Linked DNA regions of Anolis sagrei. Each later gene encodes a partner of the first gene's protein in a complex. Links are inferred from orthologs where the notes say so. Each region holds a gene or a part of one and is shown on either strand. Other genes may lie near its edges.

Region 1 (10,160 bases):
CTTTAAAAATATATAACACAAATGTATAAGGAAGGGAAACTATACAGAAACACATGACCCTGCAATTATAGCATTTTTACTATAAAACATCCTTAAAATCTGTACCTAAATTTACATAATATGTTGCCTTTAGTTTACATGTTGATTAAAATAGCTACTTTTCTTCTAAATTGGTTCCACAGATGAATTGTGTATATTTTGACTTATTTAGTAACACTGGTGCTGTCTCTCTTATGGTTTAGATCAGGGCTTCTTAAACTGTGGGTCACTACTCCAGATGGGATCCCCTTAGCTCAATGTTGGGGTCTCAAAAATTTGGCAAGAATAAAAGGCTTCTGAATACCACCCATTTACAGCAATCTGTTAGCAACAGCATGCCGTGTTTACAATAAACTCTGCAGAAGATGCTTCAGCTGCTCCCCCAAAAGCAAAATTAGCCTGTGCAACAAGCCTTGGAGCCGCTGATTTATTATCAGTAAATGTTTGGTCTTTATACCTGTTTTATATACCTATATATATATATGGGGTCATGCAAAAAATTATTGGATGGAAAGGGTCATTGCTGGAAAAGGTTTAAGAAACTCTGGTTTAGTACAAGTTAAAATAACTATAATAAAAATAATAATCATAAAATTTGTCTCAAAATCTAAAGACACTATTAATAGATCCTACTAATTGAAAACTATGCAATAAAAGGTAGACACAGCCTGAAAGGCTGCTTGCTGCATCTTATCTCCTGCTAGGGGCCACACATATATGCACGCACATGCACACACACACCATCCCATGAGATTTAAATCTCCATTCCTTGCCTATTAATATCTACAGATGGCCAGGAGAGGTGGTAATGAAAGTATCTCCTATCCCTCAGCATTTGCCACTGAAATTACTTGCAATTCCACTTCCATGACAAAAGTCTTGGAATTGGGATTGCTGTAGGTTGGGAAAGACTTTCACCTCTCTCACCAGATTTGTCTTAACATTACAAAGAACAATGGTAAAACAACATTCCCCCTTAACTCCTGATAGATCACCTGAATGCAAGACAAATAGGTTGAGTGTTTCCTCCAAAATTTGCAAGCTGTTCCAAGAGCATCCAGGGACCCATTATATTAAATTAAACTGTTTCACTTTCATCCCATGTTCATGAAACCTTGTATTTGCTTTTTATTAACAAGTTGATTTTTTTTAAAAAAATACAGAAGCCAGTAGAAATCAGATAAAATTGGAGTACTATGCAAGTAAATTCACAAATAAATTTGGCCGTCATGTTTAGTACTACTTGAATGTTTCCAAATAACTTTAAAAGAAAACATCACGTAGAGTGTATTAAGGTAAAGGTTTCCCCTTGACATTAAGTCTAGTCATGTCAGACTCTAGGGGGTGGTGCTCATCACCATTTCTAAGTCGAAGAGCCTGCGTTGCCCGCAAACACCTCCAAGGTCATGTGCCAGACTGTATGGAGTGCCGTTACCTTCCTGTAGAAGCAGGGGCTAACAGTGGGAGTTCACCCATTCCCCGGTTGCGAAGTGCCAACCTTTTGGTCAGCAAGTTCTGATGAGGGCATGAATAACATTGACTATTTGATTTATCTAGCATGTCTAGCACATTATCAAAAACTGTGCAAAAGACTTCCTGGCCATTACTGCCATCTAAACATTTAGCATGAAAGCAGACCACAAAGGTATTCTTAAACTATGTGCCTGATATTTCAAGGGGATGCAATCCCATTACTGAACAGAGTTAAGCTCTCTGACTGAGCAACACCTTTAAATCTTATTTACTCACATCCAAATTATTGCTGCATCTAAACAGTAAAGCACCGTAAACATTTTGTCCCTACAATATAGGATGCTTGGATACTTGTCCCTGTACTAAGAAGTTATTTCCATTGGGTTTTCTCCTGCAACCGTTTACCTGCATGTTCATGTAGCCATCAACAGACACGAGGTAGCCCTTATATTCCATTCCCCACTTCAATTTCACCATCACTGGCTTCCCAGTCAGCCCATTTAGGAAGGGCTTTGGATTGAGAGGCAAACTCTGCATGGGACAAAGTGGAATGTAAGAAATCTGATAAATCAGAAAAAAGGCATTCTACTCACACGCTGAATACTAGATGCATAAAGAAAGCAATGCATGAGGACATCACTTGTGTTCTTTCACAGAAATATACTGCTTCTCATATGGTAATGTATGTTCCTGATCAGTTGTTAAAGCTTTATGCCTCACAATTTTCAATAGCCTCAGTTTAAAGTCAAAGCAGAACTTTAAGAACTACATTGGATCAAAAAAAAAATGTAGCCCACTGTTTGAAATTACAACCTCTTATTATTTATTTATTTATTTATTTCGGGCTTTTATATCCCACCCTATCTCAACCTCAGCAGAGGGACTCAGGATGGCTAACAAATCGGCACACCATGGCGCCCACATCAAAAACATAAATACACAATTTAACGGCAATATAATAACAATAACAGTAATAACAGTATAAAAACGATCAATCAATCAGTCAGTGGTCACCGGTTTAAATCATCATCCAAGGGGAGTCCATCAGTTCTGTATAAGTCAACACGTCAGCAAGTCAGCCTAATCTACAAAGGCCTGATCGCATTGCCAAGATTTTACTTGTTTCTGGAAGGTGAAGAGGGATGCAGGGGATCTAATTTCACTCGGGAGGGAGTTCCATAGCCGGCGGTCACCACAGAAAAGGCCCTGCCCCTGGTCCCCGCCAGATGCGATTGTGACAATGGGGGAACAACGAGCAGGATCTCCCCAGATGATCTTCGGGCCCTAGGTGGATCGTAGCGGGAGATACGTTTGAACAAGTAAACTAGGCCAGAACCGTTCAGGGCTTTATAGGCCAAAGCCAGGATTTTGAATTGTGCTCAGATGCTGATAGGTAGCCAGTGGAGCTGGCGTAACAAGGGCGCTGTGAGCTCCCTGTACCCAGCCCCAGTGAGCAATCTGGCTGCCGAACGTTGGACTAGTTGAAGCTTCCGGGCAGTCTTCAGAGGCAACCCCATGTAGAGTGCATTGCAGTAGTCTATTTGGGATGTAACAAGAGCGTGGACCACCATGGCCAATTCAGGCTTCCCAAGGTACGGGTGCAGCTGGTGCACAAGTTTTAACTGTGCAAAAGCTCTCCTGGCCACCGCCAAAACCTGGGGTTCCAGGCTCAGCGATGAGTCCAGGATCACACCTGCACCTTCAGGGGGAATGTAACCCTGTCAAGCACAGGCTGTAACCCTACCGGCTGTTAGGAATTGAAGTCCAAAACACCGGAAGGGTTGAAGTTTGCCTGTGCCTGATCTACAGTGTGATCCAAACCTGACATTCCTCTATACACTGCGTCATCAGTTGGGGACCCCTCCCCCAAGTACCAACTGCTGCTCTGGGCCAGAGTGAAGACAGAGGGGAGTAGAAGACAGTTCCACCTTGTCTCCTGTGCTATTCTAATTTATATATATATATAATGTAATGCAATATAATACTAATATATTATAATTATACTAGCTGTCCCCTGCCACGCATTGCTGTGGCCCAGTCTGGTGATCTGAAAAATAAAGTAATGGTTTCTAATCTATGTAATTTCTTTCTGCTTGTGGGTAAACAGTATTTCTTGTTGTTTCTTTGTCAGTGTTGATGTGGAGAGTGTATGGTTTGCCCACCCTGGAACATGCAACATAACATTGTCCTACTTTAGGGGTCCCTTTCAAATCTATAATATTATATTTGTGTGTGTGTGAATCATATATATCTATCTATATCTATGGCTGGATGGCTCTTTGTCAGGAGGGTTTTGATTACGTTTTCTTGCCCTGGTGAAGGGAGTTGGACTGGATGGCCTTACATATTTTCTGTTGGTCATGGGGGTTCATTTGCCCCAATTCTGTCGTTGGTGGGGTTCAGAATGCTCTTTGATTGCAGGAGAACTATAAATCCCAGTAACTACAACTCGCAAATGTCAAGGTCTATTTCCCCAAAACTCCATCTGTGTTCATATTTGGGCGTATTGAGTATTCATGCCAAGTTTGGTCTAGATCCATCATTGTTTGAGTCCACAGTGCTCTCTGGATGTAGGTGAACTACAATTCCCAAACTCAAGGTCAATGCCCACCAAACCTGTGTGCCAAGTTTGGTTCAATTCCACTGTTGGTGGAGTTCAGAATGCTCTTTGATTATAGGTGAACTACAAATCCCAACAACTACAACTCCCAAATGACGAAATCATAGTTTTTTTGAGTGATGGTCACTCCTTGTGTAGTGAGACATTTTGTTGCCAAATTTGGTGGGATTTCGTTCATTGGTTCTTTTGTTTTTAAGGTACTCATTATGCACAGAGCATTTTATATAGATAGATATACATATAATATTTATAATATTATAATGCATTGCAATATAATACTAATATATTATAATTATATATTTATATTACTAATAATATTAAAATATAATGGTATAATACAATATAGTAATATTTAATACTGATATTGTACTGTACTATTAATATCATATATTGTATGTATGTATGTGTGTGTGTATATATATACCTTGTAAGCCGCTCTGAGTCCCCTTCGGGGTGAGAAGAGAGGCATATAAATGTCGTAAATAAATAAAAAATAAATACTACAACTCCCATCACCCACTGCTCCCTGCCATGAGGATAAGGGGCCTTGTAGTCCAATGTATTCGAGGGAGACAAGCAGGTGGACGCTTGTATCCAAGGGCTGGCTTCCCAGCCCACTATATCCGAGGCTGTGGGGCCTCCCAGCCGCCCTTTCCTTCCTTCCTCCCGCCTGAACCTCACTATGATCCGGCTCCCGAGGGCCTAAGGCCCGCAGCAAAGCCCCTCTTTCCTCCCAAAGACAAAGGCACTCACCATAGCAACCCGGCCAAGGAAGGGGAGGCTGCAAGCACACAAAAATTACTCTCAGGCAGCACGTGTGCCCGCCAGAGCTCTAAATGAAATACTCGGAAGTGACGTCCAGCTAGTTCCGTCTTCCTAATGACCTTTCACCCGCGCATTTTTCCCTCCTTCTGCTATTTATTTTATCCCCTCTTTCTATGGCGTTCTGTCTGTTGGGGGGAAAGCCACGCTCTGATTGGCTCGTTTCGCACAATAGAGGCGGGGCTACAGCTGCCAATGTTCGATGGAATTTAGAGACTAGGATTATCAGTGAGGCACTTCCGGGCTTTTTTTTTACTTCAACTCCCAGAAGCCTCTGCTGCTTTGGCCAATGATCAGGGATTCTGGGAGTTGAAGTCCAAAACGCCTAGGGGGCCAGCCTTTGGGAAACACGACTCAAGGAATATGAAAGGCTACTTCAACAGAGAAGTCAGCCAAAGCAGAGCACCAAACTGGGCACAGCAAATTATTTGAGAACACAGAAATGCTAGACCACTCTAGCAACCACCATGTCAGACTACACAGAGAAGCCATTGAAATCCATAAGCATGTGGACAATTAAAACAGAAAGGAGGAAACCATGAAAATGAACAAAATATGGCTACCAGTATTTTAAAAAATCTCTAAAATCAGGACAGTAAATAAAGAACAACACCAAGAAAACAGGGGAATTTATTTATTTACTTTATTTGTATACCGCTCTTCTCAGCCCTTAGGAGACTCAGAGCGGTTTACAACAATTTAGGTATACACAATATTTATTTACTTTGCTTATATACCGCTGTATCTCAAGCCCGAAGGCGACTCACGGCGGTTCACAAACAGTAAAAACAGTAGAAACAGCAGTGGTTCCATACAACATAAAACAATTGACTTAACACATTATCCATAAATTACCAATAAGCAATTACAATGCACAATTATTACAAAAAACAACCGTATCCAATCTTCTCATCATCCAAGCGTAGTCCATCATTAAGCATTTAAAAGCAATAGCATCACAAATCATTAAACATCAGTATCAATACATCACTACATCAATATAACAAATCCATCAGGCCTCAGCAATGAAATCAGAATCCAACTCGTTATCCAATATTCCGTGTTCCGATAGTCAGTCAATCAATCACACTGCTTAGTCGAATGCCTGTTCAAACAGCCAGGTCTTTACTTTCCTCCGGAATGCCAGCAAGGAGGGGGTCGATCTAATATCTACAGGAAGGGCGTTGCACAGCCAAGGGGCCACCACTGAGAAGGCCCTGTCTCTCGTCCCCGCCAGGCGTGCTTGTGAAGCCGGCGGGATCGAGAGCAGGGCCTCCCCAGATGATCTTAATGTCCTAACTGGTTCATAGGAGGAGACGCGTTCGGACAGGTAGGTCGGGCCTGAACCGTTTAGGGCTTTAAAGGCTAAAACCAGCACTTTGAATTGTGCCCGGTAGCAAATTGGCAGCCAGTGGAGCTGGCGCAGCAGTGGAGTGGTGTGCTCCCTGAGTGCCGCTCCTGTTAGCATCCTGGCTGCCGAATTGCAGGCAGGAAACAATCAGGATCAGCTACCATCCCAACAAAGGATTCCCCCAGGCAGCAACCAGCCAGGCATTGAAGCTGCAAGGCAATTCAATGCTAATCAAGGTGGCCATTTGCAACATTCACACTTGCCTCAAGCAGACAAGAGTTCTTTCTTCCACCCTGGACTATCCACAGATATATGAACCTCACTTGCCTAGTTTCCAACAGACCTCACAACCTCTGAGGATTCCTGCCATAGATGTGGGTGAAACGTCAGGAGAGATGTCCATTTTCTGGCTATACAGCCCAGAAAACTCACAGCAACCCACTGATAGTATTCTCAATGGAAAGGAAAGCAGTTACGATGGAACTGCCAATTGATCCACTGCAAAGCACCTCTATCATCATCATCATCATCATCATCATCATCATCTTTATCCTTATCATTATTACCACCTATTACAATGCATCCTGAGCCCTGCCGCATGCACAATGGAGGACGTTCTTATAGCAACACCAGAGGCACTCCAAGTGGCCAGCTACTGGTCAAAGGGCATGTAACATGGGTTGTTGTAGGCTTTTCAGGCTATATGGCCATATTCTAGAGGCATTCTCTCCTGACGTTTCGCTGCATCTATGGCAAGCATCCTCAGAGGTGGAGCCCCCGGTGGCACAGTGGGTTAAATCCCTGTGCTGGCAGGATTGAAGACCGACAGGTTGCAGGTTCGAATCAGGGGAGAGGCGGATGAGCTCCCTCTATCAACTCCCGCTCCTCATGCGGGGATATGAGAGAAGCTTCCCACAAGGATGATAAAAACATCAAATCATCCGGGCGTCCCCTGGGCAACATCCTTGCAGACGGCCAATTCTCTCACACCAGAAGCGACTTGCAGTTTCTCAAGTCGCTCCTGACACGACAAAAAAATAATAATCCTCAGAGGTTGTGAGGATGCTTGCCATAGATGCAGCGAAACATCAGGAGAGAATGCCTCTAGAACATGGCCATAGAGCCCGAAAAGCCTACAACAACCCAGTGATTCCAGCCATGAAAGCCTTCGACAAGACATGTAATATAATGCTAAGTTTTCAAACTTTATGTTGTTGTTTTTTTAAAAAAAATGCAATACAATTGTACCCTTGGTTCGCTCCTGGTACGATAAATAAATATAACTTTTTTTTTTACCAAAAGGAAAGCTATTACAATGATGTCAAACTGCATTAATTCTATAGTGTAGAAGCAACTTCCTCCCGTCTTCACAAGACTTTACAGTGAAGAGCCTTTGACTGCATTGAAGACTCTCCATGCCATCTGTTAGAATAAAGGCCTGAGACTCTAATAGCATCACTCTTTTACTTGTGCATGCTTTTTAACATCTTTGTCTGATGAAGAAGCCAATGTCTCAGAATTACAATCAGAATGCTGTTAATGGTCAATGTATTGTTATTAGGTACTTGAACATTTTTAGTATCTCTTTCCATCAGATGTATTGGGTCCTATGAATTGCTATATTTATATTGACCAGCAGGTGTCAGCAAATAGTTTTGGTTTGACTATAATCCTATTCATATCAGGAGTGGCCAGGACAACTGTTGCAGGCTGGTGACCCAAAATGACATTCTAGAGGACTAAGGCCCCTACTACACTGCCATATAAAATCCAGATTATCTGCTCTGAACTGGATTATACAGCAGTGCAAATCCAGCCTGAATTGAACTGCATTACATGAGTCTACACCAGGCATGGACAAACCTTAGCCCTCCAGATGTTGTGGACTGCAATTTCCATAATTCCTAACAGCCTACCTACCGGTGGTGCAAAACACCTGGAGGGTCAAAGTTTGCCCATTCCTGGTCTTCACTGTACATACAATGCAGCTTCAAACTGCATTATATGGCAGTGTAGATGAGGCCAAAGTGATATCTCCCTCAAAAACTACAACTGTCAGTCTTCCTTAATTTGTGGCGGTGTTTAGTGATAGACACATGAAATAATAGAATGTCAAACTGGGAGCTAGGTGGAAGGACAAGCAGAGTAATAACCAGGAACAATGAAATGGCAGTTATTTATTTATTATTTATTTATTTACTATATTTATATACTGCCCCTCTCAGCCCAGAGGTGGCTCGGAGCGGTTCACAAATTAGCAACAATTCCATGCCATATCAATTAAACAGTAAAAACAGTCAATAAATTCTATTAAATACAATAACATATAGTATAAAAATATAAAAATATATAAAAACCGTACAAAGCCTTAAAGCATTGTCATGAGCGTCTCCATGCCAAATCATTATTCCATTGTGTTGTTCCATAATTTCCTTTAGCTATGCTGTGTTTGGGAAGGCCTGCTCAAAAAGCCAGGTTTTCACCTTCTTTCAAAAAGTCAGAAGGGAGGGAACCGATCTTATATCTCTAGGCAGGGCATTCCACAGTTGAGGGGTCACCGCTGAGAAGGCCGTGTCTCTCGTCTCCGCCAGACACAACTGCGAAGTAGGCAGGAGCGAGAACAGGGCTTCCCCAGAAGATCTTAACATCCTAGAAGGTTCATAAGGGGAAATACGTTCAGATAGGTAAGCCGGGTTATATTATTTCATTTGTGTACTCGCTTTGTGTATTCCTTGACATCATGTGACACTTATGAAATATTGAAGTCTGTAAGATAATTCATGGTCAGCACTTTCTGTGAGCCCTTCCACACAGCCGTATAATCCAGAATATCATGGCAGAAAATCCCCCAATATCTGCTTTGAACTGAGCCCACACTGCCATATATTCCAGTTCAAAGCAGAAAATGTGGGATTTTATTCAGCTGTGTGAGAGGTAGTACACTCCGATCTAACTTATTTTAACCCCAATCAAAGGATAATCTACACTGTAGAATTAATGCAGTTTGATACCACTTTAACTGCCATGGCTCAAAGCTTATGAAAACTTGGGGCGATAGTTTAATGAGATACCAACCTATGGCAGAGAAGGCTAGACCTCATAAAATTACAGCTCCCACGACCCCAAAGCATTGGGCCACAGCAGTTAAAGTGGTATCAAATTGCATTAATACTCGAATGTAGATGCACCCTAGTTTTAGGAGAAAATCCAGAATATAAATGAAATAAGTAATATTCCCAATATTTCTATCATTATGAAAGACAGTATGAATATCATTTGTATTGATCTTACCAACCTCATTTGTCCACAAGGCATGAAATGTTTATGTGGAAATGAAGGCAATTTTTGAGCAAACGAAATAGAATAAATGGTTGCACATTTATAAGGCTGAAAATCTGCCCTTCTTTGTATTGGCATTGTGTAACAGCAATGCATTTTTTCTTTGGATTTGTCACAGTTCTTCCGCACACAGATTAAACAGCCATCCTATTGGGAGAGTATTTAAAAACAGTACAGTTTGCTGGTGGGATTTCATAAGCAGTTTCTGAGAAAATTGTATTTATTTCTGTGTTATTGTTTTCTTCCACATATTTTACATTCATTATTTGGACTAAAGTATATGTGCAGAATAGAACAAAAGTGTTTGTATTTAGGGTTGTTGTCAGGGAAGAGGGAGAACATCAGTCCTGGAGGAATCTGGAAGCTCCTCTTTCACATCAATGCTTTCTCAACCGAAACTCAACGCTGGCTTCAAATCACAGAAACCGTTCAAAAGCCAGGTTCCTGCCAAGAGAGATTACAGGCCTGGATGCAAAAACAGCATCCTTGGGGAAAATGTGTTGAGAGTAAGCCCAA
Region 2 (10,913 bases), on another chromosome or scaffold:
ACTAGACACAGTGACGGCATCTGCCCTTGTGCTTGTCTACGCTGCTGTGAGCATGCAGCAGAGTAGCAACGATCTATATGAAGATATATCTAATCAAAAGCAATAGATCTATGTGAAGATATATATAAATTATATATATATATAAATTATATATATAATTATATATATAAGATATATATAAATAATTATAAGATATATATAATTATAAGTTATAGATGAAGATCTATACAATCAAAAGCAAAGACATATATGAAGATATATATATATAGATATATATAAAAATCAAAAGCAATATATTGCAATATAATAATAACATAATATAAAATAATAATTGTAATTTAACATATATAACTAGAATAATATCTTATAATCATTTCAATCCAATAATGTAACTTAGGAAACGCTGCCATTCGTTCCTAAAGAAAACACCACAAAATTTACTCTCTTTTTATATATTATTTTTATTTTTATTTAATATTTTTCCCCCAAAAATAAAAAAAGTTCCAAATATCTCTTTATTTACATCTGAAGTTGAGCAACAGCGCCACCTGGAGGCCACTGGGTTGAAAAGCACCTCTGCGGCAGAATCATAATAATAGTAACCTCAAAGAGGTATCAAACTGGGTTAACTCTGCAGTGCAGACATACCCAGAATATATATGTGTCCGCGTATCTCCCTCCCTCTCCCTCCAGGTCTTCAATACACGGCCTCGTCCATGTTGTCGTCGCTGTCGGCCCCGAAATCCTCTCCGTTGTCGAAATAAGTAGTCCGTTTAACCTCAGCAGACTGAAAGCCAAAACCAAAGTCACAACAACATCCGTTATAGAACTCCAGTATGCTGATGACAATGTCGTCTGCGCGCATTCAGAAGAAGACCTACAAGCCACTCTCAACACCTTCACAGAAGCATACGAGAAGCTTGGCCTGTCATTGAACATCGAGAAAACCAAAGTGCTCTTCCAGGAGTCACCAGCCAACCCCTCCCCAATGCCAGAGATACAGCTTAATGGTGTAACATTAGAAAATGTTGACCATTTCTGCTAACTTGGCAGCCACCTCTCCGCCAAAGTCAACATCGACACTGAAATACAACACTGCCTAAGCTCTGCAAGTGCAGCATTTTTCCGAATGAAGCAGAGTGTTTGAGGACCGGGACATCCATAGGGATACCAAGGGGCTTGTTTATAAAGCTATTGTCCTCCCAACCCTGCTTTACGCCTGTGAAACGTGGACTGTCTATAGTCATCAACATTGACAACGAAATACAACACTGCCTGAGCTCTGCAAGTGCAGCATTTTTCTGAATAAAGCAGAGAGTGTTTGAGGACCGGGACATCCGTAAGGAGACCAAGGTGCTTGTCTATAGAGCCGTTGTCCTCCCAACCCTGCTCTATGCCTGTGAGACGTGGACAGTCTACAGACGTCAACATTGACACTGAAATACAACACCGCCTGAGCTCTGCAAGCGCAGCATTTTCCCGAATGAAGCAGAGAGTATTTGAGGACTGGGACATCCGTAGGGAGACCAAGGTGCTTGTTTATAGAGCTATTGTCCTCCCAATCCTGCTATATGCCTGTGAGATGTGGACTGTCTACAGACGTCAACATTGACACTGAAATACAACACCGCCTGAGCTCTGCATTTTCCCGAATGAAGCAGAGAGTATTTGAGGACCGGGACATCCGTAGGGAGACCAAGGTGCTTGTTTATAGAGCTATTGTCCTCCCAATCCTGCTATATGCCTGCAAAACGTGGACTGTCTACAGACGTCACATGCAACTCCTGGAACGATTCCATCAGCGCTGCCTCTGGAAAATCCTGCAAATCTCTTGGGAAGACAAGCGGACCAATGTCAGCGTGCTGGAAGAAGCAAAGACCACCAGCATTGAAGCGATGGTCCTCCGCCACCAACTCCGCTGGACCGGCCATGTTGTCCGGATGCCTGACCACCATCTCCCAAAGAAGTTGTTCTACTCCGAACTCAAGAAAACGGAATGTTGGAGGGCAGGAAAAGAGTTTCAAAGATGGGCTCAAAGCCAACCTCAAAAACTCTGGCATAGACACTGAGAACTGGGAAGCCCTGGCCCTTGAGCGCTCCAGCTGGAGGTCAGCTGTGATCAGCAGTGCTGCAGAATTCGAGGAGGCACAAATGGAGGGCGAAAGGGAGAAACGTGTCAAGAGGAAGGTGCATCAAGCCAACCCCGACCAAGACCGCCTTCCACCTGGAAACCGATGCCCTCACTGTGGGAGAAGATGCGGGTCAAGAAGAGGGCTCCACAGCCACATACGGACCCACAAGAATATTGGAAGACAATCATCCTCGGAAAGCGAGGGATCGCCTAAGTAAGTAAGTAATATATTAATAGTAAAGGTCAGGGTGTTTTAAATATATGATTATTATATGTAATATTATATATTGTTATATTATTATATACAATATTATTATATATTGTTATATTAATAGTAATAATATTGCAATTTAGGATATATCATGATATTATTGTCATATAGTAATAGTAAAGGTAATGGTGTTTAAAATATATTATTATATATAATATTATTATATATTTTTATATTAATAGTATTACAAAGTAATAGCGTTTTTAGTATTTCTTATGGTCTATCTGTCGCCATGTTGTTGTTCATTCGTTCAATCGTCTCTGACTCTTCGTGACCTCATGGACCAGCCCACGCCAGAGCTCCCTGTCGGCCGTCACCACCCCCAGCTCCTTCAAGGTCAGTCCAGTCACTTCAAGGATGCCATCCATCCACCTTGCCCTTGGTCGGCCCCTCTTCCTTTTGCCTTCCACTTTCCCCAGCATCATTCCCTTCTCTAGGCTTTGCTGTCTCCTCATGATGTGGCCAAAGGACTTCCACTTTGTCTCTAGTCTCCTTCCCTCCAGTGAGCAGCCGGGTTTTATTTCCTGGAGGATGGACTGGTTGGATCTTCTCGCAGTCCAAGGCACTCTCAGCACTTTCCTCCAACACCAGAGTTCAAAAGCATCTCTCTTTCTTTGCTCAGCCTTCCCTCAGGTCCAGCTCTCACATCCGTAGGTGACTACAGGGAAGACCATGGCTTTGACTAGGCAATGGATCTTGGTTGCCAGTCTGATGTCTCTACTCTTGACTATCTTATCAAGACTGGACATTGCTCTCCTCCCAAGGAGGAAGCGTCTCCTGATTTCCTGGCCACAGTCTGCGTCTGCACTCATCTTTGCGCCTAGAAATGCAAAGTCTGTCTCGGCCTCCACATTTTCTCCCTCTATTTTCCAGTTGTCAATCATTCTTGTTGCCATAATCTTGGTTTTTTTGACGTTTAGCTGCAACCCGGCTTTTGCGCTTTCTTCTTTCGCCTTGATGAGAAGGCTCCTCAGCTCCTCCTCGCTTTCGGCCATCAGAGTGGTGTCATCTGCATATCTGAGGTTGTGAATGTTTCTTCCAGCAATTTCCACCCCAGCTTTGCATTCCTCAAGCCCCGCACATCCTCGCATGATGTGTTCTGCATACAAGTTAAAAAGGTTGGGTGAGAGGATGCAGCCTTGCCGGACGCCTTTCCCAATCTGGAACCTGTCTCCTGTTCCGTGGTCAGTTCTGACTGTTGCTCCTTGGTCCTTGTACAGATTCCTCAGGAGAGAGGGGAGGGGGCTTGGGATGCCCATCCCACCAAGAACTTGCCACAATTTATGATGATCCACACAGTCAAAGGCTTTAGAAGAGTCAATGAAGCAGAAATAGACAAGAAAGAGGTCCTCCTGGTCGATCGTAAACCTGACCGGGGTATAGGGTGGCAACCTGTGTTGGACGGGGTTACACTCCCCCTGAAGCCACAGGTCCGCAGTTTGGGAGTCCTCTTGGATTCATCACTGACGCTTGAGGCTCAGGAGTCGGCGGTGTCCGGAAGGGCTTTTGCACAACTGAGACTCGTGCGCCAGCTGCGACCGTACCTCGCGAAGGCTGATCTGGCCTTCTAGTCTGATCCTCTAGACTGGATTACTGCAATGCGCTCTATGTAGGGCTGCCCTTGAAAACGGCTCGGAAATTCCAATTGGTCCAACGGGCAGCAGCCAGGATGTTAACTGGTGCTCCTTACAGAGAGAGGTCAACCCTCCTGTTTAAGGAGCTCCACTGGCTGCCATTTATTTTCCGAGGCCAATTTAAGGTGCAGGTGCTCACCTACAAAGCCCTGAACGGTTTGGGACCACCCTACCTGCGTGACCGCATCTCCATCTATGAGCCCACATGCTCACTCCGGTCATCTGGAGAGGCCCTGCTCGTGATCCCGCCTGTGTCGCAAGCGCGCTTGGTGGGGACGCGAGACAGGGCCTTTTCTGTGGTGGCCCCCCAACTCTGGAACACCCTCCCAAGGGATCTTAGACAGGCCCCTACATTGGCAGTCTTCAGGAAGAACCTGAATACCTGGCTGTTCCGATGTGTCTTTTCAGATTAGGAACCTCAATACCAAGTCCTTGATGCACTTTAGTAGAACCATGATCTCTACACACCGCACACTGCACTTATTTTAAAACCCTATATTCCTCCCGCAATATCAGCACTTTTAATCCTGTACCCACTACTCTGGCCGGCCCAGTTTTAATAATTGTTTTGATGTATTGTTACTGTTATTGTTTACTCTGCTTAACTATTTTTAATTTGCTTTATGTATTGTATTGTTGTATTGTGTTTTGAGGCCTCGGCCTATGTAAGCCGCATTGAGTCCCTTGGGAGATGCTAGCGGGGTACAAATAAAGTTATAAGAATAATAATAATCCCTCAGTTCTTGTGGGTTTTTTCGGGCTATATGGCCATGTTCTAGAGGCATTTCTCCTGACGTTTCGCCTGCATCTATGGCAGGCTTCCTCAGAGGTCTGCCATAGATGCAGGCGAAACGTCAGGAGAAATGCCTCTAGAACATGGCCATATAGCCCGAAAAAACCCACAAGAACTGAGGGATTCCGGCCATGAAAGCCTTTGACAATAATAATAATAATAATAATAATATATTTTTCTGAAACTCCCTGCTTTTCTCCAGCATCGGGATATTGGCAATCTGGTCTCTGGTTCCTTTGCCTTTTCTAAACCCAGCTTGAACATCTGGCAACTCTCGCTCCATGTCTTGCTGGAGTCTTCTTCCTTGCAGGGAGACCTTTCTAGGGATTTTCGCAACAGGCCGGAACCTTTCTTTTCCCCGGAAGTGAGTCTCATCAGGATTATTTTGGTGACGGACCGGAAGTGTGAGCCTATCAGGGGACTTTCGCAACAGACCGGAACCTTTCTTTCCCCGGAAGTGGGTCTCATCGGGATTATTTCGGTGACGGACCAGAAGTGAGAGCCTATCCGGGGATTTTCGCAACATACCGGAACCTTTCTTTCCCCCGGAAGTGGGTCTCATCGGGATTATTTCGGTGACGGACCAGAAGTGAGAGCCTATCCGGGGATTTTCGCAACATACCGGAACCTTTCTTTCCCCCGGAAGTGGGTCTCATCGGGATTATTTCGGTGACGGACCAGAAGTGTGAGCCTATCCGGGGATTTTCGCAACATACCGGAACCTTTCTTTCCCCCGGAAGTGGGTCTCATCGGGATTATTTCGGTGACGGACCAGAAGTGAGAGCCTATCCGGGGATTTTCGCAACATACCGGAACCTTTCTTTCCCCCGGAAGTGGGTCTCATCGGGATTATTTCGGTGACGGACCAGAAGTGAGAGCCTATCAGGGGACTTTCGCAACAGACCGGAACCTTTCTTTCCCCCGGAAGTGGGTCTCATCGGGATTATTTTGGCGACGGACCGGAAGTGTGAGCCTATCCGGGGATTTTCGCAACAGAGCAGAACCTTTTTTTCACCCGGAAGTGAGTCTTATCGGGATTATTTTGGTGCCTGGCCGGAAGTGTGAGCCTCCCCTCAGTGCAGAGTCAAGGAAGCGTCTCTGTGGAGCGGAAGCGCGGCCATTGTCCGCCGCGATGGGCTCCTCGAAGCGGCACCGGGAGCGGGGCGAGGCCCCTGAGGAGAATCCGCCTCCTTCCTCCGGGGCTCCGCCGGCCTCGTCTTCCTCCTCGTCGTCGTCCCGGCACCACCGGGAGCACAAGAAGCACAAGCACCGCAGCGGAGGGGGAGGCGGAAGCGGAGGAGGAGGAGGGAGCAGCGGCGCCGGGAGCAAGCGCAGCGGGAGCCGGGCCGAGCGGAGCCGACAGCGGGGAGGAGGCGGAGGAGGAGGAGAAGAAGGCCCGTCCTCGTCGTCCTCGCAGCGGAGGCAGGAGGGCGAGCGGAGGCCCAAGAGGGAGAAGCGCGGAGAGGCCCACGAGCAGGCCCCACAGGGAGCAAGTGAGGAATCATCATCATCATCATAACAATAATAACTAGCTGTCCCCGCCACGCATTGTTATGGTCAACCTTCCTTCCCTCTTTCCTTCCTTCCCTCCCTCTTTTTCTTTCCCTTCTTCTTTCTTCCTTCCCTACCTGTTTCTTTCCTCACTTCCTTTGCTCTTTGGTTCCATCCTTCCTTGTCTCTTTCCTTCCTTCCCTCCCTCTTTCTCTCTTTCATTCCTTCTCTCCTTCCTTCCCTCTCTCTTTCCTTCTTTCACTTTTTAATTCCTTCTCTCCTTCCTTCCTTCTCTACTTTTCTTTCCTTCCCCCCTCTTTTTCTTTCCCTTCTTCTTTCTTCCTTTTCTACACTTCTTTCTTTCCTTCATTTTCTCCTTCTCTCCTTCTCACTTCCTTTGCTCTTTGGTTCCATCCTTCCTTGTCTCTTTCCTTCCTTCCCTCCCTCTTTCTCTCTTTCATTCCTTCTCTCCTTCCTTCCTTCCCTCTCTCTTTCCTTCTTTCACTTTTTTAATTCCTTCTCTCCTTCCTTCTCTACTTTTCTTTCCTTCCCCCCTCTTTTTCTCTTTGTTCCTTCTCTCCTTCCCTCCCTCTTTTTCTTTCCCTTCTTCTTTCTTCCTTTTCTACACTTCTTTCTTTCCTTCATTTTCTCCTTCTCTCCTTCTCACTTCCTTTGCTCTTTGGTTCCATCCTTCCTTGTCTCTTTCCTTCCTTCCCTCCCTCTTTCTCTCCTTCCTTCCCCCCCTTTCCTTCTTTCACTTTTTTAAATACTTTCTTCCTTCTTTGCCTTTCTCTCCTTCTTTCTTTCTCTCCTTCCTTCCCTCCCTCTTTTTCTTTCCCTTCTTCTTTCTTCCTTCTCTACCTGTTTCTTTTCTCGCTTCCTTTGCTCTTTGGTTCCATCCCTCCTTGTCTCTTTCCTTCCTTCCTTCCCTCTTTCTTTCATTCCTTCTCTCCTTCCTTCCCTCTTTCACTTAGTTTATTCTCTCATTCCTTCCTTCTCTACCCTTCTTTCTTTCCTTCTTTCTCTCCTTCCCTCCTTCCTTCTCTTTCTTTCCTTCCTTCCCTCCTTCCCTCTTTCTTTCCCTCTTTCTGTCTCTCCTTCCTTCCCTACCCTTCTTTCCTTCCTTCTCTCCTTCCCTCCTCCTTTCCCTCTTTCTCTCCTTCCTTCCTTCTCTACCCTTCTTTCTTTCCTTCTTTCTCTCCTTCCCTTCTTCTCTCCCTCCTTTCTTCTCTTTCTTTCCTTCTTTCTCTCCTTCCCTTCTTCTCTCCCTCCTTTCTTCTCTTTCTTTCCTTCTTTCACTCCTTCCCTCTTTCTCTCCCTCCTTCTCTCCTTCCTTCCTTCTCTACCCTTCTTTCTTTCCTTAATTCTCTCCTTCCCTCCTCCTTTCCCTCTTTCTTTCCCTTCTTCTCTCCTTCCTTCCTTCTCTACACGTCTTTCTTTCCTTCTTTATCTCCTTCCCTCCTTTCCGTTCTTCTCTACCTCCTTCCTTCATTCTCTTTCTTTCCTTCATTCTCTCCTTCCCTTCTTCTTTCCCTTCTTCTCTCCCTCCTTCCTTCTTTTTCCTTCCTTCTTTCCCTCCTCCTCTCCTTTTTTCCTTCCTTCTCTACCCTTCTTTCTTTCCTTCCTTTTCTCCTTCCCTCCTTTCCCTTCTTCTCTCCCTCCTTCCCTCTCTTTCTATCCTTCTTTCCTTCCTTCCTTCTCTACCCTTCTTTCTCTCCTTCCTTCCTTCTGTACCCTTCTTTCTTTCCTTCTTTATCTCCACCCCTCCTCCTTTCCCTCCTCTCCTTTTTTCCTTCCTTCTCTACCCTTCTTTCTTTCCTTCTTTCTCTCCTTCCCTCCTTCCTTCTCCGCAGGAGGCCCAAGCGGGAGAAGCGCGGGAAGGCCCATGAGCAGGCCGCCCAGGGAGCCGGTGAGAGAGCAGGGGAAGCTCCAGGCGTCTCCCTTCTTGCCTCCTTCTTTCCTCCTCCCTGCTCTTTTTTTTCCTTCTTCTGCCCTTCCTTCTTTCTCCCCATTCTTCTTTTGTCCTTCTCCTCCTTCTCAATTTATTTATTTATGTATTTACTAGCTATCCCCTGCCAGGGCGTTGCTGTGGCCCAGTCTGGTGATCTGGAAAATCTATCTATATAAATAAAAATGTCATATTTATTTGTGGCATTAACGTAACTCAAAAACCACTGGACAAATTGACACCAAATTTGGACACAAGACACCTAACAACCCAATGTATGTCCTTCACACAATTTTTTTTGAAACTTTCATTTGGGAGTTGTAGTTGCTGAGATTTATAGTTCACCTACAATCAAAGAGCATTCTGAACCCCACAGACGATGGAATTGAGCCAAACTTGGCACACAGGACTTCCATGACAAACAGAAAATACTGGAAGGGTTTGGTTGGAATTGACCTTGAGTTTGGGAATTGTAGTTCACCTACATCTAGAGAGCACTGTGGACTCAAACAATGATGGATCTGGACCAAACTTGGCACAAGCACTCAATACACCCAAATATGAACACAGATGGAGTTTGGGGGAAATAGACTTTTGACATTTGGGAGTGGTAATCACTGGGATTTATAGTTCATCTACAACCAAAGAGCATTCTGAATCCCATCAGCGATAGAATTGGGCTAAACTTCCCACGCAGAACCCCCATGACCAACAGAAAGTACTGAAGGCCATCCAGTCCAACTCCCTTCACCAGGGCAAGAAAACCCAATCAAAGCCCTCCTGACAAAGAGCCATCCAGCCATAGATAGAGATAGATATGCTTCACACACAGAGAGATATATTATCATAGCTTTGAAAGGGACCCTTGAAGAAGGACTATGATATGTTGCCTGTTCCAGGGTGGGCAAACCAGACACTCTCCACATCAACACTGACAAAATAAACAACAAGAAATACTGCTTACTCACAAACATAAAGAAATTACATGTATTAGAAACCAGCACTTTCTCGTTACTTTACTTTTGAGATCACCACACTGGACCACAGCAACACATGGCAGGGGATGGCCAGTATCTATATAAATAAAAATGTAATGCTCGTTTGTGGGATTAACATAACGCAAAAACCACTGGACGAATGGACACCAAATATGGACAAAATACACCTGTGAGGCCAACAAGTGACCATCACTCATAAAAACACTGAAAAACACTACAGAAGAGACTTTAAAAGACAAAAAAATAAAAATACGTTACAACGCATGCACAAAACCACATATATAAACAAACACACATATATACACACATATATGCATGTATATATACACACAAAACACATATACACAGAAAGGGGGAAGGAAGGAAAGAGAGAAAGAAGGGGGAAAGGAGAGAAGGAAGGAAAGAAAGGTAGAGAAGGAAGGAAGGAGAGGATTTCCTCTTTCTCCTGAGGTGGCAGGCAGATGTAGTAAGCAACAGCCAGGAGACAGGTGTTTGTAAAGTCTCTTCCTCCGTCCCCTTTCTCCTCTTAGCAGGCTAGGGAGGGGGAGAGTAGTACCAGGATTTTTTCCTTCTCCTCCTGAGGTGGCAGGCAGATGTAGAAAGCAACAGCCAGGAGACGGGTGTTTTTAAAGTCTCTTCCTTAGTCTCCTTCCTCCTCTTAGCTGGCCTGGGAGGGGGAGAGTAGTACCAGGATTTTTTCCTTCTCCTCCTGAGGTGGCAGGCAGATGTAGTAAGCAACAGCCAGGAGACAGGTGTTTGTAAAGTCTCTTCCTCCGTCCCCTTTCTCCTCTTAGCAGGCTAGGGAGGGGGAGAGTAGTACCAGGATTTTTTCCTTCTCCTCCTGAGGTGTCAGGCAGATGTAGAAAGCAACAGCCAGGAGACGGGTGTTTTTAAAGTCTCTTCCTTAGTCTCCTTCCTCCTCTTAGCTGGCCTGGGAGGGGGAGAGTAGTACCAGGATTTTTTCCTTCTCCTCCTGAGGTGGCAGGCAGATGTAGTAAGCAACAGCCAGGAGACAGGTGTTTGTAAAGTCTCTTCCTCCGTCCCCTTTCTCCTCTTAGCAGGCTAGGGAGGGGGAGAGTAGTACCAGGATTTTTTCCTTCTCCTCCTGAGGTGGCAGGCAGATGTAGAAAGCAACAGCCAGGAGACGGGTGTTTTTAAAGTCTCTTCCTTAGTCTCCTTCCTCCTCTTAGCTGGCCTGGGAGGGGGAGAGTAGTACCAGGATTTCCTCCTTCTCCTCCTGAGGTGGCAGGCAGCTGTAGTAAGCAACAGCCAGGAGACAGGTGTTTTTAAAGTCTCTTCCTCAGTCCCCTTCCTCCTCTTAGCTGGCTTGGGAGGGGGAGAGTAGCAGCAGGATTTCCTCCTTCTCCTCCTGAGGTGGCAGGCAGCTGTAGTAAGCAACAGCCAGGAGACGGGTGTTTTTAAAGTCTCTTCCTCAGTCCCCTTCCTCCTCTTAGCTGGCCAGGGAGGGGGAGAGTAGCAGCAGGATTTCCTCCTTCTCCTCCTGAGGTGGCAGGCAGCTGTAGTAAGCAACAGCCAGGAGACGGGTGTTTTTAAAGTCTCTTCCTCAGTCCCCTTCCTCCTCTTAGCTGGCCAGGGAGGGGGAGAGTAGCAGCAGGATTTCCTCCTTCTCCTCCTGAGGTGGCAGGC

The links.
Region 2: SNRPF (region 1) and SART1 share a complex: the UniProt entries of both Homo sapiens proteins name them as parts of the U4/U6-U5 tri-snRNP complex. The link is inferred for Anolis sagrei from reciprocal best matches to the Homo sapiens genes SNRPF and SART1.

The regions. Positions count from the first base shown.
Region 1 is NC_090025.1:155,432,733-155,442,892, reverse strand, and holds the start of SNRPF (small nuclear ribonucleoprotein F), read right to left. Parts: upstream 5,034-10,160; 5' UTR 4,889-5,033; coding exon 4,886-4,888; intron 2,044-4,885; coding exon 1,918-2,043; intron 1-1,917. UniProt on the Homo sapiens protein: Plays a role in pre-mRNA splicing as a core component of the spliceosomal U1, U2, U4 and U5 small nuclear ribonucleoproteins (snRNPs), the building blocks of the spliceosome.
Region 2 is NC_090032.1:21,963,580-21,974,492, forward strand, and holds the start of SART1 (U4/U6.U5 tri-snRNP-associated protein 1), read left to right. Parts: upstream 1-5,907; 5' UTR 5,908-5,961; coding exon 5,962-6,322; intron 6,323-10,913. UniProt on the Homo sapiens protein: Plays a role in mRNA splicing as a component of the U4/U6-U5 tri-snRNP, one of the building blocks of the spliceosome. May also bind to DNA.